Pelodiscus sinensis: one gene and its partners. The protein of the gene in region 3 binds, or shares a complex with, the protein of the main gene of each other region. Links are inferred from orthologs where the notes say so. Each region holds a gene or a part of one and is shown on either strand. Other genes may lie near its edges.

Region 1 (7,834 bases), on a different chromosome or scaffold from region 3:
CCACTCCCCAGTTTCAGCAAATATCTATGAAACTCACTGGCAAAGTCTCTCACCTTCCTCTGTGCCACTAGAGGATGTCAACTTACTATTGCTATCAGTTACTTCACTAAGTGAAATGACTACGGTCTGTGTGGTGGTTCTAAAGGTACCTGTAACAGGGTGTGAATACCCCACACTGGAGCAGGGGGAATGAAAACCCTGTGGGCAGAGAAAGCCCTGCTCCTTCAACCAGACTGGGCATGCTCCAAGTGCTGGGGCAGCATAAAAGGCAAGAGAGTAGCTTATCTGGGCTGGCCAATGAAGGAGAAAGACTTCCAGCCAGAGCTCCCATGCTGCAGCAGCCAGTGACCCAGAACAGTGAGAACCCGGAATCCCAGGAGACGGCTGCTATGCAATCCCCGCAGAGTCCCAGGAAGAAGCCGCTGCCAGGGAACTGGGAGACCAAGCCACTATGTGGGACGTCGACCTGCCAGAATCGTAGTAAGTGACCCAGGGAGGGTGCAGGAATGGCCTCTCCCACCCAGGTATATTTGGCGGGTTTTGGCCAGATTCCCCACCGAGGGAGTTGTAGATTGTTCTGCTGCTCGCAGGGCGCTGGGTAGGACCTGGTGGTGTAGGGTGGGCCCGGTTCCCCCTACCAGGGTGCTTGCCCCAATCCTACTGATTCTGGCCTGGCCTTTAGGACCTACTGCCCTGCAACAAGAGCTACTTACCGATTCTCTGTGTTGCCCTGAGACCAGGGCCACTTACTGACTCTGGCCACTAGGCCACACTGCCCTGGAGTGAAGGCTGACCATGATGGACTCTGACCAGCAGACTGTACTGCTCTGAGAGAAAGCACAGCACTATTGACCTTAGACACTAAGCTCAAATACCCTAGACTGCAAGGGGACATTTACAGACTAGAGAGACAGCTGAATACCCTGTAGCCAATCAGGTGGCATCCACACCCCTGAATATCTTCACTCCTGTGATGGGATATGCATATAACACCACAGTATCAACCCAACTAATAACCCATGTGGGTATCACTTGGATGCCACAATGGAATTCCCCCTGCCCCCCAGTTTGCTTTTTTAAGAGCTAGGCAATTACACACAAAAAAACTACATTAAAAGAAAATTTAAGTTGCAAAGCTAAGCAATCAAAAATTGGGAATTAAAGTTAAGAATAACTCTGCAACTTTAATCCAGCCCCTTGTGTATCAGCATTATGCTACAGTCTTCAATTACATATTCACATTTTTCCCCCTCATCTCACAAACTCCTTGCTTCATTCACTGGACAAAATGGACCTATTCTGTTGAATCCAGGCGAGGTATGAAAGGGGACTTCTGTCCATAGGGCCCCTGCCTTATTTGTGGCAGAAGTTGGACGACTTGTACTGAGTGGGGTAGGGGAATGCAGGAAGAGAAGGACTGACTCATGCTTAAAACAAATGAATGCTGTCTCTGCCACAGAGTTCCTAAGTGATACTAGGTAAGTCACTTAAAGCAAACTTTTCACACGCATTTGTGCAAGGCTCTATACAACACTTGTATCCGCATCTCCATCTACAAAAAAAACCACATCTGCGCATGTGGATGTCTGCAGTTGTGTAGGGTTCTAAATAACTCATTAATGTTTTGTATCTTCACATAACCCCGGTGAGGTAGTAGTTTTATTATCCCCATTTTACAGATAGGGAAACTGAGGCAAGGAGACTTGGGTCAAAAACATTTACTAATTTTGGTTGCCTAATTTGAGATGCCTAAAAGCTGATTTTTTTTCAAGACTACTTAGCTCTATATAACTATAAGCCTATATGTAGATAGAGCTCTGCTTTATATCTGCAAGTATCTACATTTATAAATGTGAATGCATATGTCTGCAACTTATTTTTGGAGATGTAGATAAAAATTTTGAGTAAAGAAATAATTCTATTTTCAACACAAGGTCTGAATATTGTGCAGTAAATAGGCCACAATGAATAATGACAAGAAAACAAAATATTGAATAGAACAGCATTGCACAAGCTGGAGCCACCCAATCCATGTGTAGGAAGAGTGCAGCACAGACCCCTGGCCCCACCAGTCCCCTGGGCTGAAACAAAGGGGCAAGGAGAGACAGGGCCTGGAGCAGAAGGGAGTTGTCCTGGTCCTTCCTTGGGCGGAAGCAGGGAGCACGTGGTCAGTGTCTTCCTCCTTCCCCTGTCACCCATCGTTACTGCTTTGCTTTGAATTTACCTTAGTTCAGGGGTTCCAAAACCTCATTGCATTGTAACCTTCTTCCAACAATAAAATATTACTGCATGGCCCCAGGAGAGGAGGCCAAAGCCTGAGCCCACCTGAGACCTGCTGCCCTGGCTGTCAGGAAAGTGGGGAAAACCTCAAGCCCCAACACCCTGGGTGGGTAGGCTAAAGCCCAAGGCCTCAGCAGACCTGTAACCTGAACCCCACCACTCAGGGCCAAAGTCAAAGTCATCAAAATCAGTCTTTGGTCCTGGTCCACAGCAAATCCAATGCCAGCCTTTGCAGACCCAATTAAAACTTGATCATAGCCCATTCTGTGGTTCTGAATGACAGTTTGCGAACTGCTGCCATAATGGCAAAGTTAGGCAGTCGTTGCCTGTAACGTTTTTATTTTATTTTTCTTGTATTAAATTCTGACTCGTATGCTTCACGCTTAAAAGCATACAAAAATCATTCCCTTTGATCCAGTGTATTTGAAGTGTTTGGGAAACTCCACTTGGGACAGCAAGTGTACTTATTTCTATTATTATCCAAGCTCGTATTGTCCAGGAAAGGGCTGTGCAGTACAAGACAGAGATTTCTAGAGCATGGCACCACAGAGACAGTGCTGGAGGGAACTGGCTTTTAAGGTGGCTCCCACCAGCACCGGCTCCTGCCCACCCCTCCTTGCTGCCACCAATACAGAGGCAGTGACATGGAAGGGAGAGTGAGTAGTCAAATACCTGACTTCACTACTCACTTACATCCTTATTTAGAAAGGCTTTAGGACTCTCCTCCCTCCCTTCACTGAACCCCAGATTCACCTGGAGCCACCCAGAACAGAGCTCCGGTAAATATTTTCAAACCTATAGAAGCCCTGAGAACACCCTCTCCTCTCCCTGAGACGTGCTTCATTTGGCAGCTGTGTCCTAAATGGTGGTCAGCTCTGTGAAATAGTCTCTGAGAATTTAAGCCCTGGAAGTGACTTTTTAAAAAGATGTGAAGGAAGTGTTTCATTGCATGAGGAAAGGAGTCCAACAATCCACCTGCCCCAGTAGCAGTTATAGACTTCCCAGAACTTTAGCCAGCCCTATCTAGAGGCCTAACATGAAATTGTTTCATGCCCTGCTCTTACTAACTGGGCTAAGTTATCTAAAGCTAATTCAGCAAATACATTTTCTTCCAAATACCAACCCCCTCCTTTGGCAATGCAACTGCAAAGTCTGATTTAGTTTAACACCAGATTAGACAGGTACTGGGCATGCTAAGTTATGCAAGTGATAGTACGGGGGTGCAGCTCCTGCCATACAAGTGTGCATAGCTGGCTAATAAGATAGTCACCATCTGCATCTCCTCCTCCTCCTCCCCTGCATCCAGGGCCCTTTGAACTTCCCATGTCTCCCCTTTGGTAAAGCTTGTCAACAGGAACAAGAATGAACTCACCACTGAGTAAGAGGAGGAAAAGGATGAATACCAGGTGGGACTGACTTTTCCTAGGATCTACATGAAAGAAAGGCAGACACACAGAGATCAATGCTGTTAGACACACAGGAGGCAAATCCTGCAGAGGTTAAACCCGTGCAGACGCTATGGTTGTGGAGAGAGCCTGGGATCTGATCCCCAACGTCCATGAGTCAACTATAGCCTGAGGGAGCAAAGGGGCAGCCACAAATACCACTGGTTGCACGGTAAGATGCTGTGGGAAGGGGGTCTCAATCATACCCCATATCAGGCTAGGGGACTGAACACGTGCTAACGGAATCAATGGCAAGGACCCAAAGCACGAACTGGGTTCAGGTGAGCCTTGCCAGATCGTATTTGAAAGCGCTGGAAAATTCCTCCTAGTTTATCGGTTTTAACCTAAACCGTTTCAAGGGTGCAGCCTTCCAAGCACCGTCCGACAGCTCGCCTCGGGGCAGCCGTCAGTGGCACGGAACAGTGAGGCCAGACGCGTGCAGATCCCAGCTGAGACCCCGCCCAGCTCTCCCCAGTCATGCCCGGGAACCTCGCTGCCAACCCCTGCTGTCACCCCCGGAGAAAACCTATCCCAGCACCTCGGCCCGCCTGCCCGCTGGAGCGGCGGCCTCGGGTCTTGCTGGCAGCCAGGCGGAGCCCAGAGGAACCGCGAGAAACACTCGTCCGGCGGCCACAAGGCCGATAGCCCGGGGGACTGTCCGGCACAGGGGAGGCGTGAGCCCAGCCGCTGGAGCTACAGCAGGGCTCCCGCACCTCGCCCCGGGCCGGGGGCTGCTCGACACCCCCGCCGTACAGCGGGCGCCCGGCCTCACCCTGCACAGGAGCCGCTGCCCAGCCTGGGCCCCGCGACCTGCCAGCGCCACCATCCCGCCTGCAGAGAGTCCCCCGGCCCCCGCAGGACAGACCCTCACGGGCCCTCAGGTCCCGCCCCCGCACTGCCATTGGCCGCTTAGACAACGCCCTAGTCTCCGCTCTACCCAGGAGGGGCTGTGGCGCTCGACTCGGCCAATAGAGAGCCGCAATCGCCTAACCCCGCCCCTAGGGGAACCGCCCACCATTCCAGGGCGGTGATTGGCTACGGGAATTGAAGGCGGCCATGGATGGAAAGTCAGGGTTGGACACGCCTCCTAGGGGAGGAACGCAAGCGCCGCGTGTGTGGGCGGTGCTAGAGGGAGTCACGTGTACGAATTCCCGCGGGCGGCGGTTGCCCGTCACGTGACTTGGGCAAGATGGCGGCTCCCACGGAAGGTAAGAAGTGGAAGCACCAGGACTTGGACCGGATCTGCCTTGCGCGCGGAGCTGAGCTGCGGCGGCTTCTGGGTATCGGCCCAGCCCGCCCGGTTCCTGGGTCGCGTCTTGAGCGTGATGTGTCGTTACCCTGCGCCAGCCCCCTCCCCGCCGGCGACTCGGAGCCGGGGGGAAGGGTCTGGAGACCGGCCCGACCAGGCGGCCCCGCCCGGCGCTGGAGAACGGGCACCGGGCAGCCCTGTCGTCGGGGCACGTCCCCGGACTGGAGCTGCTTGTCGCCTGTGTGAGGCGCCGCGGTTGAGCCTTGCGAGGGCACCCTCTAGCCACAGCCCGTGGCCATGGCGTCTGGGGTGTCGCTGAGCCTGCGTGTGACATGTCCGGCTTCGGGGCGGGAGCGGTGTTTGTCTGTCTGACTGACTCACTGACTGACTCCTTCCAGGGACAGATCTGGAAGCCTCCTTGCTGAGCTTTGAGAAGCTGGACCGAGCATCCCCAGACCTGTGGCCGGAGCAGCGTAAGTCAACCCTGATTCTCCTCCAGGGCTTGATGAGGTGGATTGGTCCTTCATGTGAAAGGAAACGAGAGTATCCAGTGCCCTGGTGAGAAGGGGAAAGACCCCTGGGTCACTGGAGTGCACTGCGACCTCCAGGCCCCCGCAACCTGGGATGGGTGTGTGTACCATGGAGTTATGGTTTGATGGTGTGGGGAGTGGCAGTTGGCAACTGTAAGTTTCATCTGATTGCCCATGTAAATGTTACTGGAGATGGTATCCAGTTTGAGCCCTAGTAGATTAGGATGTTCTCCATAACATTCTGATGCGGGTGCTTCTCAGGTTTTGTTCCCTTCACCTATGCATTTAAACTACGGTGATCTGCACTCCTTGGCTAGGTGGTGAAAATATAAGAAGTGAGGCTTGATAGGAACTCTTCCAGTACCTCTGTGTAAACTACTGACTAATAAACTAAGCTGATCTGCAATGGACACTTCCATGGCAAATAAGCAGGGAAAATCTTCCAAAGAGCATTCTGAATTTTTGTTACTCCTGCAGTATTCAAGAAACTGCAGTAGATGAGTTAGTGACTAATATTTAATGTAGTGAGGCAACATTTCCTATAGTACATGTGACTGGAGATTTTATCTAACTCTACTGCAGCTAGGAAGCTTAATTCCCAGTTTGATTGGCATTTGTACAATAATTCTGATCAATGTAGCATATGAAAAAATATCAGCATGGCTATCAAACTATCTGCTTAGGGCAGGAGTGGCCAACCAGTTAGGGACAAAGAGCCAAAATATCTGTGGATATTTATTTTTATATATCTAGATAGATAGATAGCTATAGTACACAAAATATAGTGATTAAAAATAACATTACAGGACACTTCAGACAAAAATCAATAAAAAAGTCACTAGTCACTTTAAAAAATTAATCTCCAGTCCATAGATCTTCTGAGAACTTGACAAGGAGCAAACATCAAATTAAAAAAATTTTTTTTTTAAAAACACAGCAATATTCTCACACTAAAAGAAAAGCATCCCTACCATGTATTTTAAATTTAACATTACTGCCCTAGTATGTCCTGTGATTTTTTTTTTAATTAAACTGAACTGAGAAATAAATTAGCACAATTTGAAGTGTCTGTTTCACTCCAACTTCTGACCTCTGGTATGGTTTCCTCAGTTTTTTTACTTCTAAAAATTCAGGTCTGTCCCAGACTGCAAATATGAGAGGTTCAAAAACAATAAGGCAGAGACACATATCTCAGAATAATTGGTTCAACCTGGCGAACAATAGCCTTTGAATTTTCTTTTAAGGAACACAGTGTAAACTAAGTGTATGCTGATTCTTTTTTGCCCTGGAATTTAAATATGACATCTGTGTTGGCTGCCTTTATTCTGCATCCATGAAGATAAGCCAGGCACCGTCAGCCCTCCCTGCTTTAACCCAATGCTTTCTCCCAGAGCCAGGCACCCCCAGCTCTCCCCTGCTCTAACCCAATCCCCTTCCCTCCCCCAGAGCCAGGCACCCCCCACTCTAACCCAATGCCTGGGTCCCAGAGCCGCTGTCGCCACACGCTTCTCCCTCCAGACACTGGGACGCATGCACAGAGCAGCTGGCTGCGAGCAGTCCAGGCGCACAGCTCAGAACTAGCAAGAGCCGCATTTCTTTAAGCAAAGAGCTGCATGCGGCTCAAGAGCTGTGGGTTAGGGCGTCTGACAGGATTGCATTCAGGCAAATTGCCCATGATCTGTGTATCTATGCCAGGGTTTCCCAATCTTTTTACTTTAGTTCGAACCCTTTTTTTTAGTACTGTTTTTTGCAGCCCAAAAATATAAACCCATAAAAAACAAACTGAGAAAATACCAGACATATAACATGTCTCGTCTTTTCTCATTAGGTAAGTTTTATTATTATTAGATGTATCAGTTTGTAGTTTCGAACTGCCTAGCTGGTAAATGTGCTCAGGCTGCATGAGTGTGTCTACCAGCCAGACAGTTCGCAACTACTCGAGGGTGTGTGTTGTGGGGGGGCACAATAGAATCCCCGGGCCAGACTCACTCGTGCTTTGTGGGGGTGGGGAGAAGGGGAGCAGCGCCCCGAGACCTGCATATGGCCAAGTCAGTCCCGCTCCCTGCCGGCCGATTCACTCTCTCCCCCCGCCTCTGGCCAGCCCCACTTCCCCCAACCCCCTCCTGGACAGCCAGTTCTCTTCCCAATCTCCCTTGGCCAGCCCCGCTGCCTGCGTCCAGCCCTGCTTCCGGCGGCCGCTTCTCCCTCCCACCCCCATCTTCCCCGGCCAGCTCCCTACCCCCAACCTCATGCCTCCTGGCAGCCCTGCTTCCACTGGCCCCCCAATCTCCCCGGCTCATCCCACCCCGATTCCCCCATCCAGTGCTGCT
Region 2 (7,342 bases), on a different chromosome or scaffold from region 3:
CTGTACCCTATCTCTGCCCTTAAGCGTATCTACCTCTCCCCCCAGCTTAGTGTCATCCGCAAACTTGCTGAGGGTGCAATCCATCCCCTCATCCAGATCATTAATAAAGATATTAAACAAAACCGGTCCTAGAACCGAACCTTGGGGCACTCCGCTAGAAACCGACCGCCATCCTGACATCGAGCCATTGATCACTACCCGCTGGGCCCGGCCTTCTAGCCATCTTTCTATCCATCTTACCATCCATTTATCCAATCCACAATCCCTTAACTTGCTGGCAAGAATATTGTGGGAGACCGTATCAAAAGCCTTGCTAAAGTCAAGGTATATAACATCCACTGACTTCCCCATGTCCACCGAGCCAGTTACCTCATCATAGAAGCTAATCAGATTGGTCAGGCACGACTTGCCCTTTGTGAATCCATGCGGACTATTCCTAATCACTTTCCTCTCATCCAAGTGCCTCAATATGGATTCCTTAAGGATCCCTTCCATGATTTTTCCAGGAACCGAGGTAAGACTGACAGTTTCCTGGATCATCCTTCTTCCCTTTTTTGAAGATGGGCACTACATTTGCCTTTTTCCAGTCATCCGGGATTTCTCCCGATCGCCACGCCTTTTCAAAGATAATAGCCAAAGGCTCCACAATGACATTTGCCAACTTCCTCAGTATCAAGATCATCCTAGCACCATGTGAGAGCAGACGCATATACCCACTTTGGTTTTCCCACAAAGAATAAGAGCCAGATCAAATCCTCCTATTTCTTAAACAGGCGTTTGTTTAAATATAAATATCTTTTTCATCATGGGAAGAAGTGTTTACTGACCATTCCAGAAGACAAGTGAATTCAGAAGGGATTAATTCAGTGTTTCTCAAATGCTGTCACTGTGGCTGCATGTGGCCACCAGGGGCTTTTCTTGTGGCCACAAGCTCCTAGGTAGTGATATGAGGGGGAAGGAAATAGCAGCCCATCTCCAAGGGTCACCAACAGGGGATGAGACCTGTCCCCTTCTGGAGTCAGAAATGCTGTAGGAGCAGGAAGCCAGAGAAAATTCCCCTATTTTGGCACCTATTTGGCTCTGGGCCCTGGTCACTGGGCTTTGGCTCTGACCTTGGGCTTCCAGCATTGATTCCAGGCTTGCCATGCCCCAATCAATACTGGCCCCCATTGTCTCCCCAACTCCTCACCCCCACCAAATTGCCCCTCGTCCTTGCTGCCTTCCAACCTACCTCCCTATCCAGGGCTTAATGTGTCCCCCAACCTGCTAGGCCTGAGTAATCTGCTGCGAAATTGGTTTTGTATGTTTAATATCATTTTCCACTGCCTCCCAGCTTGTAAGCGAGTCATTCTGTGGAAAATGATATTAACAAACATAAAAAGAACAGAAGACTTACTAGAATTTACAAATCTAAAACAAAAAAAACAAAAGAAACACCAAAAGACAAAAACATGCAAAGGATCTTATTTTTGTTTCTATTCTGTTTACGTCCAGTGAAAAATGGAGAAAACTGTACATTAATTTGATTATTGACTGAGGGAAAAAACCTTACATAAATAAATTAGTGATTTGGACATGTATATGTGCATATTTGTTTTTCCTAAAGTTAATTAAGTACAGTGAAAGCTTATCTGGACTTTGTTAACTGGAAAATTGTGTTAACCAGCATTGCCCCAGCCACATCTGCTGGCTCACACCTAACTCTCACCAGTCCAACTGGCGGTTGCAGGACTACTGCCTGCTGGCAGACATCATCAGCAGGCATCTCCTTCTCCCTCAGCCTGCCTCCAGCTGGATCTGCCAGCATGGGGTGGGAATGGAGCAATAAGCTGAGTATTTGGCACATTCAATTAACAGGTAACCCCCAGCTCCATTTGTATCTATGGTTGTGACTACTTTCTTCCACTATTTGATCTGAGGAAGTGGGTCTGGCCCACGAAAGCTCATCATCTAATAAACCATCTTGTTAGTCTTTAAAGTGCTACATTGTCCTGCATTTTCCCCCAGCTCCTCTGAGTGCTGGATAACAAAGCTTTCACTGTATTTTAGAAAAAAATGTCAGTGTTTCTATGAGCAAGAGATGGTGGCTGCAATCTGAGGCCACCAAAAAAGTGTTGTGAGATGCTCTGGATGAACTGCTCCCCAAAACCTCAATGACAAATGAAGGGAGCTGGGAGGGGCCGCAGTTGGATCCCAGAAAGGTACCACTTGGAAAGCGAGTGTGAAAAGACTTTAAACGCACAGTGACTCACTAGCCCTTCAGGACTGTTGACGTTTTAAAGTTAATTCGGGTTAAGTAGGGTGTGAATTTCAGGTGCAAAACCTCCTGAACCGCTCCAAGGCTTGTCCCAGAACAAGGCATCGAACGTGGGCTGCAGCCCTGAACGGCTGCTCTGCATTCGGTGTCTCGGGCTGACTGCACTGCTCCACCGCCCGGCTCTGCTGGCAGGGCTGGGGCAAGGGGCTGCCATGCCGGGGCTTAGCTCGGGGCGAAGCACAGCTAAGCGGAGGGGGGTGTGGAGTCCTCATGCCAGGGGCTTAGCTGGGGGGGCCTGGCATGGCCCGGGGGGGGGGGGGGAGGCGCTTAGCGGAGAGGGCGGGGCTTAGCCTAGGGGGTGGGGCCTGGCATGCCCCGGGGGCGGGGCATAGCTGAGCGCGGGGGGGGGGGGGGGCAGTCACGCTGGGTGACCCCGAGGTCCGCTGTGGGTGCGGGCTGCACCGGGCCCCGCGGGCGAGGCCCTGCACCCGAGCCAGGCCCGCGCCCCAGCCCCGCCCCCCGCGCTCCCCGGCGCGCACCTCCAGGCTGTACGTGCCCCGCAGCGCCCGGAAGTCCCGCAGCGCCCCGGCGGCGCTGGCCGCGTCCAGGTTGAGCTCCTGGCAGAGGCGCTCGATGGCGGCTGCGGCCTCCTCCCGGGCCATGGCGGCTCCCGGCGGCTCCAATCCCACAAGCCCTTGCGCGCAGCGCGCCAAAACCGCTTCACCGCCGGGCCTCGTTACGCGTCTCCCTCCGCCCGCAGCGACCGCCCGCCCGCCGGCCTGAGGAGCGGGGCTGCCGGCCCGGGCTGCCCGCCGCCTCCCTCCGCCTGTAGCGCCCCGCCTCCTGTCCCTCCCGCCGCCTGTCCCTCCGCCTCCCGCCGCCTGTCGCGCCCCGCCGCCTGTCCCTCCGCCTCCCGCCGCCTGTCGCGCCCCGCCTCCTGTCCCTCCCGCCGCCTGTCCCTCCGCCTCCCGCCGCCTGTCGCGCCCCGCCGCCTGTCCCTCCGCCTCCCGCCGCCTGTCGTGCCCCGCCGCCTGTCCCTCCGCCTGTCGCGCCCCGCCGCCTGTCCCTCCGCCTCCCGCCGCCTGTCGCGCCCCGCCGCCTGTCCCTCCGCCTGTCGCGCCCCGCCGCCTGTCCCTCCGCCTGTCGCGCCCCGCCGCCTGTCCCTCCGCCTCCCTCCGCCTGTCGCGCCCCGCCGCCTGTCCCTCCGCCTCCCTCCGCCTGTCGCGCCCCGCCGCCTGTCCCTCCGCCGCCTGTCGCGCCCCGCCGCCTGTCCCTCCGCCGCCCGTCGCGCCCCGCCGCCTGTCCCTCCGCCGCCTGTCGCGCCCCGCCGCCTGTCCCTCCGCCGCCTGTCGCGCCCCGCCGCCTGTCCCTCCGCCTCCCTCCGCCTGTCGCGCCCCGCCGCCTGTCCCTCCGCCTGTCGCGCCCCGCCGCCTGTCCCTCCGCCGCCTGTCGCGCCCCGCCGCCTGTCCCTCCGCCTCCCGTCGCGCCCCGCCGCCTGTCCCTCCGCCGCCTGTCGCGCCCCGCCGCCTGTCCCTCCGCCGCCTGTCGCGCCCCGCCCCGCCGCCTGTCCCTCCGCCTCCCTCCACCTGTCGCGCCCCGCCGCCTGTCCCGCCGCCTGTCGCGCCCCGCCGCCTCCCGCCGCCTGTCGCGCCCCGCCGCCTGTCCCTCCGCCTCCCGCCGCCTGTCATGCCCCCCTGCCTGTCCCGCCGCCTGTCGCGCCGCGCTGCTGGTACCCCTAGTTCCATGTGCCTGGCCTAGGGCTGTGCTAACGACGCTCAGCGCAGTGTTTCCCAAGTGGTGTTCTGCAGATCCCCAGGGTTTCGTGAGAAAATTCCATCACAGCAACATTTTATCATTTAAAAAATAATTAATATTTAGGCATTTTATTGAAAACAATTGTCATTTGTGTTGATCTCATGCCTTTGATTAGCATGTTTATTATCCTTACTTAGTTGTGGTTTATTTTTCATCTCTCTATATAAGACTTTTATTAGGGGTTCTGCAAAATTCTTTTGAGTTTAAAAGGGTTCTGTGGCCAAATAAAATTGGGAACCACTGCCTGTCCCTGCACCCTGTAGGGATGTGCTACCAGCAGCCCCTAGACATGCCCTGTGTCTGCACCCTGTAGGACTATCACTAGCAGCCCCTACACACGCTGGCTGACTGTCTCTGCACGCTGTAGTGCTGCACTACTGGCACCCCTAGACATGCTGACTGCCTGTCCTTGTGCCTTTAGGGTTGTGTTACCAGTACTCTTAGGCACACCAGCCACCAGTCCCTTTGCCAGTAGGGCTGTTCTGCTGGTACCCTTAAATACCAGCAGCCGCTTTTCTGGAATAACTTGCCAGCTATCTACACTGGCCGCTTGCTTTTCTGGAAAAGCAGTGACAATCTACTGTAAAATTGTCAGTGTTTTTCTGGAAAAACTATGCTGCTCCCGTTCGGGCAAAAGTCCTTTTCTGGAAAAACTGTTCCGGAAAAGGGCCAGGGTAGACAGCACAGTAGTCTTTTCCACAAAAAAGCCTCGATTGCGAAAATGACAATCGGGGCTTTTTTCCGGAAAAGCGCATCTACATTGGCCATGGACGCTTTTCCGGAAAAAGTGCTTTTCCGGAAAAGCATCCTGCCAATGTGGACGTGCTTTTTCCGGAAATACTTATAACGGAAAACTGTTCCATTTTAAGCATTTCCGGAAAAGGGTACCAGTGTAGACGTAGCCCAGCTGCTTGTCCCTGCATCTATAGTGCTGCACTGCCAGCAGCCCCTAGACACGCTGTCTGCCTGTCTCTGCACCCTGTAGGTCTGTGCTACCGTATCCCTAGACACGCCAGCTGCCTATCCTTGCATCTGTAGGACTACCGGTACCCTAGACTCGCTGGCTGCCTGTCCTGCCTCCTTGTAGGTCTGTGCTATGTGCAACCCCTAGCTATGCTGGCTGCCTGTCACTGAGCCTGTAGAGCTGTGCTACTAACAGCCCTTACTGGTCTGTGCAGCTGTGAGAAGATGCTATGCCAAGCCCTTGCTACCAGCAGTAGGCACAGCCCTATAGGGAGCAATGACATGCAAGGTATCTGTCTGTAACTGCTCTTAATAGGGCAGCCTCTGGTCATCCTATACTGCTGCCTCCCCCATCCTGACTATATAGAGTAATTTACTACGCCGCCCTGGCTGCCACCTGCCCTGCGCCCAACCCTGCCCGTATGCTAACTTATCCTGTGTGCTTGCTCTTGCTTCAGTATGCGGTGTGTCTACCCTGTAGAGTTGCTGAGCATCCTCAAACATCAAGACTTGAGAACAGTTCCTTGCTACCGGGCACTGGATTGACCCTCACCTCCTGGCTTTCTTCATCAGCCTGTGTCTGGGTATCCATGACAGGTATTTCTGTCCCTTTTTAACCACCTGTAAAAAGCAGCCAGCAGGGCAAAGGGCACTGGCTTCAGCAGAGCTACTGAGCATGCTCAGTGTCCTCCAGGCGCACATTCCAACAGGGAGCTGTTCTAGGGGTAGCCCTGGGACCTTCCCCTCTGCACCCTCTGCCCACTGGCAGCACTGGCCCCTCCCCAGGGGGGGGGGGAGCTGGGAAGTATTTTGGCTCCCACTCTGGAGACAGACACACTCCTCCAGGCTGGCGTGCGGTTGGTGAGCGTATAAAAGGCTTACTAGTGAAAGCTGGCGCTGGCTGCAGCTCGCCCCCCAGCGCTCAGGGACGTATGGGACAGAGTGAAAGCACTCCTCACTGAAACCACTGTGACTAACGCATGTTTCATTATTGCCACTGTATTCTCCTTGGAACAGGGCTGGGAGCGCCACTGGGATCCCTAGGATGCCAGGGAGCGAGAGCAGCCAGAGATTGTGGCAGGAAACAGACACAGAAGTCAGCAAATTCTGCATAAAATTCAGCGGGTGGGCAATAAACAGGGCCCCATGCATAAACTAGGGATGCAAAATCCCATTTAATTGGGTAACCCGTCAACCATTATGTTTAACCGGTTAACCAACTATAGGCGGGGGGAGGGGAGAATGGAGCCGGGCTGGAGCCACCCCCTGCCATAGACAAGGGCCGCTCTAGCCAGCTGGTTGGCGCATGCCCTGCCTGTGGCAGGGAGCCAAGCCAGGCCCACCACAGACAGGAGCTGATCCAGCTGGCTGATCAGAGCACCCCCTGCCCGTGGTAGGCCCTGTGGGCTGGAGCAGCTCCCTGCCTGTGGAGGGCAGGGAAGAGCTGTTCTAGCTCCTATCAGTGAGGTGGAACTAGTGAGCATCACCCATTGAAGAGCAGGGAGACTGGATGGAGCTCTTGCGTGTGTAGGGGGGGTGTCTTAATATGTGGGATCAGTGATCCCTGGCTAGTGAGGCGGGGGGAGAAGTGAGCTACTAAAGGGCTGCTTTTCTAGACTCTAGAGATGTCTAGGGTTGCCAGGTGTCCGGTATTGAACCGGACAGTTTGGTACTTTTGTCTCCTGTACGGTAAAAAACTTCAGAAAATACCGGACACCTAAAATGTCCAGGACTTTCTGTTTTTTTTCCCCCGGCCAGGAGGCAAAAATCCCTGGCTGTCCGGCTCAATACGGAGGCAGCCTGACAACCCTAGTGCTTACCAGGTTCCGCAGAGGAGCTGTCCAGCCCCACACAGGGAGGCAAGATGGCGGGTGGCTGCCGGCAGCCTGGTAGGGCCAAAAAGCCTCACGACACGTTTCTTTCTTTTTTTTTTTCTTAACAACTCTTGGGGTCCTTTTTTTCTGTTCAGTATTTTTTCTGAAACCATTTGGCAATCCAGATGTCTGACAGGAAGGTGTAATGGGGGTGCCACTCATCTCGTATGCGCAGCCAAGTACCTGCATGTCCTGCTGTGGCCACCCTCCTGCAACCCAGCTCTCCAGCCAAGCCTGAGCCTCCAGCTTCCACAGAGAACTGCCTCGCTCTGGTGCAACAGCTTCCTTTTAATTGGCTTGCTGGGCCCTCATTGGTCAGGTCCTTTGTGCCACCCTATCTTTCCTGGAGGACTTCTCTGTGGTTTGCTTGGCAGAGTATGGTAAGGCCATAAGCCTCCAGCAGGGGCCGTTGGAGCCTGGTCCACCACGGCAT
Region 3 (7,216 bases):
CCGCACGGCCAAGGTGTCTGCTGCCTGCCGAATGGAGATGGGTGGCTGACTCCGGAAATTCACAGCTACAGCCGGCCTCCCGCGGGCACCACATTTTCCCCGTCGGGGGTCAGAGCCCCATACTTCCGACAGCACCTCCTCTGTGCCCCTGCTTCTCAAGCTGCAGAGAGGACCCTGCTCCCCAGGACTTCAAAACTACCACTGATCTTCCCCACAATCCAACTTCTCATTGCACTAAAACCCCTGCTGTCCCAGAGCCAGCCCGGCCACCTCCCCAGCTCCTCTGGAGCCCGCCAGGACTGCGCCTCTCTGGGACAATGCCCCGGGAGGGTCCTCCGTATTTCAGCCCCTAGCTCCATTCTCTTTTGGAGCAGATTAGGAAGGCTGTGGTGAGGCAGCTCTTATGCTACCCAAAGTCCTCAGCTTTCCTCGGCTGACTTGGCTCTAGGGGAAGGGGCAGGGAACCTTTTTGGGTTGGGGGCCACTGACCCACAGACAAATCAGTCGGGGACCACACACAAAAAACCCTCATTGATGTGATGCCCGACGGAAGCAGAAAGATGCTTCCTACATTTCCCTTGCACACCAGAGCCTGGGGGCCCAGCCGTGATTTTCTGTGCTCCAGCCGTGTGGTGAGACAGCGGGGGGCTGGAGCACCAGTGCGGGTCCCCAATGCAAGCGGGGGGCCCTGAGCCTTAGGGGCTGGATCCAGGCAAGCTGCGGGCTGCATTCAGCCCCCAGGCCTGAGGTTCCCACAAGAAGTTTCCAGGGGTGGATCTGTTCTTTGGTTGGCAGGAACAGCCGTACCTTAACACTCAGCGCGCCCCTGGGTGCCTGCCAAGGGAAGTTACTCCAGTTCCCATCCCAAGTAACCCTAAGTGTGAATTCCATGGGCGCTGGGTCAGTGTGAATGCATCGTATGTCTGTACTGATATGCCCAGCGCCACACTGCACTGGATACTGCAAAAGACACAAGCCTGGTCACTTTCCTACACAGCTGTGCTCCACAAGCCACTGCTCTGTTTCAATGATGCTGACAAACACGAGTCCCAACTGCCCGCCGCTTTTGGAGCAAACGCCCACCGCTTTTCTGTCCCAGCCTGAACCTCTTAGTCACCTCCTGCACATGCCCGAAGCCAGAAAGAGCAGCAGTGGGAACACAGACAGCTGAGGCGACACACACATGGGTATCACTCCATGGAGGCATGCTGCACTGCTGGAAGACAAGAGCTAGGTTTCGGCTTTGGACATGGCAGGGAGATACCGTGAGAAAAGATCTCCAATGGCCAGGGACAAGGATAAGTGCCTATGCCAATTCGCCACTAGGGATGTGAATCGGTAGCTGGTTGCCCAGTAAGCAGGTACCAGTTAACTGACACCTGGGAGCTGCCCCCTGCATTTAACCAGTTAACCAATTAAATAGGACTGGACATCCCTAACCCAGGGGGTTGGGTCTTCACCTGGCATCCTAACCACCATGCTACAGACTAGGTGGAAGTGCCTCTCGCAGAGCTCAGAGCCCATTCCTGTTCTGAAAAATCTTCCCGGCAAAAGTTTCCTCAAAGCTGACTGGCTCTGTGAAAAGTTTCGGTTTTGCCAAATCAGCATTCTCCCCGCTCCCCCCCCCAAAAAAGCCCCACACCAAGCCACTTTAGAGCCACAAACTGCTGACCCGCTTGAGAAGAGTCCTGCTGCCTCCTAGCCATGCCTGGATGCACAAGTGCTTCCTTGAGCCTCCCGTTTTCAGTCCTCCAGCCCTGGGTTCCCATGCGGATCCGAGCCTGATGCCTCAGGCAGCAACTGCAGCACTGCGGATCCAAGGGAGATTCCTCCACACACATGGCATGATAAGCAGCGGCTCCCAGGGCAGAGGCTGCTCGGGAGGCCGGGAAAGCAGGATGCAGCCAAGCACCAGGGAAGGGCATTGAACAAGGTCCGAGATACCACAAATACACCCGAGATCAATGTTGCACTCCCACTTACCCCCGTCCTACCCATATCACAGCCTTACCTGTGGCCTCCTAACCCCCTCCAATCTGCCCCTCGCAGCCCCCGCCACCCACCTGCTTCTCCCTCCGCAAGCTTCAGTGTATTCAAAGAAACCTTTTTCGTATTGAATCTCCCAAATTGTCGAGTCTGACAAGGCTGCTCATCAGGGTGCAATGAGCCACACGTTAGTGATCTCGGAGGTGCTGGGGTGAGACAGCTTTGGGGACAGTCTATGCAGTGCGCTTTTGTGATGCATAAACATGCAGGTTGCCACGTGTGTGGGCAAACGCGTATTCACCTGGGGCACAGACCAGATGCAAGCTCCAGATTTGCAGAGCTTCAGCCAGAAACGATCTGATTTGCTCTCCTCCCCTAGCAGCCAGGTCTCCCCCACCTCCAGACTGGAGGAGGCAGAACCCTAAAGATCATTTGGAAACTTCAGCTAGTGGAGAACCGCACCCCCACTTGCTTAGCAGTGATTTCCCTGAGCTCCGCAGACTGTGCTGGCTTCCTGCTCGGCCCCCTGCAACACACGGTGCTGACAGTGACCTACGCATCCCTTTCAAGCTGGTGTCCTGCTTAATGCAGGGCTGCCACTTGCGAAGAGCGACTGCGCTGGGGTGGATCCAGGCTACGATCTCCCGGTGACGGGGCTGTGGACTCTGGATTGTTTCCCTGCAGCGGGGCGCGGAGCAGACGCGCAGGCCCTCGGGGGGCGCGGGACCAGGGTCTGGCTCTGTTCCGGGGTGGCGACGACTCCCCTCAGCGTGTCACCGCCCCCCGGGACAGGGACCCCCCCACTTACAGCCCCCCCCCGACAGGCTCCACCCGGCCCCAGGCCCTGCACAAAGCGGGCGCCAGAGGGGGGAGGCCCCGTACGCCCCCCCCGGAGAGACCCCCCCGGGCCGCACCAGCTTGAGGTCCAGGACCCCGTCCTTGGCCTCCTGCAGCAGCGACACGAACTTGGTGGTGAGCAGCCCCAGGCTCTTCTCGTGCCGGCTCGGGGCCCCCGGGGGCTGCGGCCCGGACTCCGCCATCTGCCTCCCCGCGCGCCGCTTCCGCTTCCGCCGCCGCCCGCGGGGCAGGCCGGGAAGCCGCGCCGGAAGCCAGGGGGCGGGGCCGCTGCCGCCCGCGCGGGGAGTCACGTGGCGCCGGGGGGCGGGGCCGAGGCGGGGCCCCGCCTCGCGCCCGGCCACTAGCTGGGGGGTGTGTGTGTGTGTGTGTGTGTGTGTGTGACGAGTGCTGCGCGCCGGTTGCCAACTTCCCGGACCGCACGGAGCGGACCCCACTCGCGGCAGCGCCGCCCCGGCCGGGAAGTTGGCACCTGCGCCCCGTGGCCCCCCGGCCCGTAGCCCCCACGGCGCCTGGGGACCCTGCCCCTCGGGGGCTCCGGCCACGGTGGCGCGGCAGGGGGGGCTCGGCGATCCGGAGTGCGGGGGGGCTCGGGGTGCGGGGGGGGGCTCGGCGAGCCGGGGTGCGGGGGGGCTCGGGGTGCGGGGGGGGGCTCGGCGAGCCGGGGTGCGGGGGGGCTCGGGGTGCGGGGGGGGGCTCGGCGAGCCGGAGTGGGGGGGGGCTCGGGGTGCGGGGCTCGGCGAGCCGGAGTGGGGGGGGGCTCGGCGAGCCGGGGTGCGGGGGGGCTCGGGGTGCGGGGGTGCGGGGGGGGGGCTCGGCGAGCCGGGGTGCGGGGGGGCTCGGGGTGCGGGGGGGGGCTCGGCGAGCCGGGGTGTTTGTTTATTCACAGCCAGGTTTGCTTCTACTGATGGTGCACATTCACATGTGCCTTGGTGCATGTAGAAAAAAATATTCTGCACATAGATGGAAAAGATTAGAGGGAACATTGCTTCTCAGACGAATTCCAGACCAGTTCCCCCAGAATTACCTGTAAGACCTTCTTAAAGGGCTTTCCTAAAACCAATCTCCGTAATTTAACTGACCCAAACATTAAAAAACAACAAATAGTCTAGCAGCACCTTAAAGACTAATAAAACATGTAGCTGGTACAACCCACTTCCTCAGATGAGTGGAGAGAATTCAGATTTGGTCTCATGTTCACTCCTGGTCCGGGAGCAGATCTGGCCCCGGGCCCCAGCATTGGAAATACAAGCTGAACTCCAGGGCGTGGTTCACTCTGATAAAAGCTTCCTTTAGGAAGCAAACGCCTTCACTGCTTTCTGGCTAGCTCCACTCTTAGTTTTCACTTTTTTTCCTCCCCGGGGCAAGTCTGGCGTGTCCACACGAAAAACACTGGTTCCTTTTATGTCAACCCGCTTGGATGAGTCTGGGCCCAGGGAGGTTAGCTGATTGATTCCCTTTGACCACAATTCTTGAAGAACACGAAACTTAAAAATACAGAACCTCCCAAATTAAGTTTTCATTCACAAACTAGGAATCATTTCCCCTTTCATGCATAATATTTTAAGTGTTGCACTCACATAAATACAAAGCCTCAGACAGGTCGCCGTGGTAGTCTGTAGTTTCAAAAACAACTACAAGACCGGTGGCACCTTACAGACGATGATATGTGTGGGCATAAGCTTTCATGGGTAAAAACCACTTTGTTCGATGCATGGAGTCCATGTCCTTTTAGAACCTCAGGGATCAACTTCTCAGCCCAATGCTTTCAAGTAGGAATAAGAGATCCTCCGGAAAAGGGCTTTATTCCGGAGGATCGTGCCAGTCTAGACGCTTTTTTCCAGCTTTTCCCCAAGCCGGAAAAAAGCGGCGGACATGTTTATTTAAATCCCGCGGGGGATATTTAAATCCCCCGCGGATTTCCCTATTCTGACTTACCTGCTTTGCATCACTTTTCCGGAATTTGGGGCCAGTGTAGACGTAGCCAAAGTGTTTTTGTCTCCACTTCTGGAAACTCTGGAAGAATTCCACCATGATTTCAACAGCTTCCACCCCACCATCAACTGCAGCCTGGACCAGTCTACACAAGAGAGCCACTTCCTGGGCAGCACGGTGTAAATAAGTGATGATCACATAAACACCTCCCTATACCAGAAACCTACTGATCGCTATACCTACCTTCATGCCTCCAGCTTCCATCCCGGACACACCACACGATCCATTGTCTACAGCCAAGCATTAAGTTACAACCGCATCTGCTCCAACCCCTCATACAGAGACCAACACCTACAAGATCTTCACCGAGCATTCTTGAAACTACGATATCCAAGTGAGGAAACAGACTAAAAGAGCCAGACATGTACCCAGAAGCCTCCTACTACAAGACAAGCCCAAGAAAGAAACCAAGAGAACACCACTGGCCATCACCTACAGACTTCAGCTAAAACCTCTCCAACGCATCATCAGTGATCGACAACCCATCCAGGACAATGATCGCCCACTTTCACAGGCCTTGGGAGGCAGGCCAGTCCTCGCCCACAGACAACCCGCCAACCTGAAGCAAATTCTCACCAGCAACTATACACTGCACCACAGTAACTCTAACTCAGGAACCAATCCCTGCAACAAACCTCAGTGCCAACTTTACCCTCATATCTACACCAGCGACACCATCACAGGACCTAACCAGATCAGACACACCATCACTGGTTCATTCACCTGCACAGCTACCAATGTAATATACGCCATCGTGTGCCAGCAATGCCCCTCTGCCATATACATTGGCCAAACTGGACAGTCCCTACATAAAAGAATAAATGGACACAAATCTGATATTAGGAATGGCAGTATACAAAAACCTGTAGGAGAACACTTCAATCTCCCTGGACACACAGTAGCAGAACTAAAGGTAGCCATCCTGCAGCAAAAAACTTCAAGACCAGACTTCAGAGAGAAACTGCTGAGCTACATAGTTCATCTGCAAATTTGACACCATTAGTTTAGGATTAAACAAAGACTGTGAATGGCTGGCCAACTACAAAAGCAGTTTCTCCTCTCTTGGTGTTCATACCTCCACATCAGCTGCTAGAAGAGGGAGTCATAGTGGAGAGCAGCCAAAGCAAAAGAGCTCCCAAGGTGATGCTGTGGCCGAAAGGACTAATTCGATTCTTGGCTTTCATATTACATAGGACATACGCACACAGACCACAGCTGGAATATGGTGTCCAGTTCTGGTACCCATGTTTCTAGAGCCTGACAAATTTGTGGATACCCACTTTATATCCGCGGGTGACCGCATCCACAGCTGCGGATACCCACAGCTCATTTTTGTGGATACAGATACAAATCGGCTGCGTCTAGATTGGCATGTTTTTCCGGAAATGCTTTTAACAGAAAAGTTTTCCGTTAAAAGCATTTTCGGAAAAGAGCGTCTAGATTGGCATGGACACTTTTCCGCAAAAGCACTTTTTGTAGAAAAGCATCGGTGCCAATCTAGATGCGCTTTTCCGCAAAAAAGCCCCGATCACCATTTTCTCAATTAGGGCTTTTTTGCAGAAAACAAATCTGAGCTGTCTACACTGGCCCTTTTGTGCAAAAGGGACTTTTGCCTGAACGGGAGCAGAATAGTATTTCCGAAAGAAGCACTGATTTCAGACAGTAGGAAGTCAGTGCTTTTGCGGAAATTCAAGCGGCCACTGTAGACAGCTGGCAAGTTTTTCCGGAAAAGCGGCTGATTTTCCAAAAAAACTGGCCAGTCTAGACACAGCCATTTTGTATCTGCGCAGGGCTCTGCATATTTGAAGAAGGGTTCAGGAAAAGCTGCAAGAATATTAGGTACCGGAGAGGAGGCTTATAGCGAGAGGCTTATGACACTCAGTCTATTTATCTTGTCAAAACAAAGATGAGGCACTGATGAGATCATGGTCTGTCACCACTTACACAGGGAGATCTCTGAGGACGGGCTCATTAATCTTCCTATGTATTTTAGAAACTTGCATCTGTCTGTGAGTCCATTTGTTCAAGAATCCTCCTAACGGGTACAAGCTGGCATAACGCTGACACGGGAATTGAGCCTAGGACCTCTGGAGCTTAGTGCACGAGTCTCTACCACACAAGCTAAAAGCCAGCTGGCTCTCAGGTAATGCTGTAGAGCAGCCTCATTAGTCTCTCTTGACTTGGTCCCAGTGCCATAAGTGGGATAGTGCACCGCACCCAGCAGGTGTGAGGGTTACACGAGGATCACCTGATTTGGTAGGCAGCTTCCTCTTTACCATCACTCAAAGCGAGGTCGGGTTGGGTTGTGCCAGGACAATGGGATGTTCCTGGAATGGGACTGTTTCATAGCAAATGGAAAGGGAGGGGTTATGCTCACACA

The links. Proteins that work in one complex are often made in the same cells at the same time.
Region 1: E2F4 (region 3) and LIN52 share a complex: the UniProt entries of both Homo sapiens proteins name them as parts of the DREAM complex. The link is inferred for Pelodiscus sinensis from reciprocal best matches to the Homo sapiens genes E2F4 and LIN52.
Region 2: E2F4 (region 3) and RBL1 share a complex: the UniProt entries of both Homo sapiens proteins name them as parts of the DREAM complex. The link is inferred for Pelodiscus sinensis from reciprocal best matches to the Homo sapiens genes E2F4 and RBL1.

The regions. Positions count from the first base shown.
Region 1 is NC_134714.1:44,998,769-45,006,602, reverse strand, and holds the start of LIN52 (protein lin-52 homolog), read left to right. Parts: upstream 1-4,803; 5' UTR 4,804-4,914; coding exon 4,915-4,933; intron 4,934-5,372; coding exon 5,373-5,447; intron 5,448-7,834. Other genes in the region: ALDH6A1 (methylmalonate-semialdehyde/malonate-semialdehyde dehydrogenase [acylating], mitochondrial), read right to left, coding at 3,653-3,709, 4,498-4,551.
Region 2 is NC_134728.1:32,852,474-32,859,815, reverse strand, and holds the start of RBL1 (retinoblastoma-like protein 1), read right to left. Parts: upstream 3,032-7,342; 5' UTR 2,920-3,031; coding exon 2,797-2,919; intron 1-2,796. UniProt on the Homo sapiens protein: Key regulator of entry into cell division. Directly involved in heterochromatin formation by maintaining overall chromatin structure and, in particular, that of constitutive heterochromatin by stabilizing histone methylation.
Region 3 is NC_134722.1:47,083,355-47,090,570, reverse strand, and holds the start of E2F4 (transcription factor E2F4), read right to left. Parts: upstream 3,082-7,216; 5' UTR 3,027-3,081; coding exon 2,901-3,026; intron 25-2,900; coding exon 1-24. UniProt on the Homo sapiens protein: Transcription activator that binds DNA cooperatively with DP proteins through the E2 recognition site, 5'-TTTC[CG]CGC-3' found in the promoter region of a number of genes whose products are involved in cell cycle regulation or in DNA replication.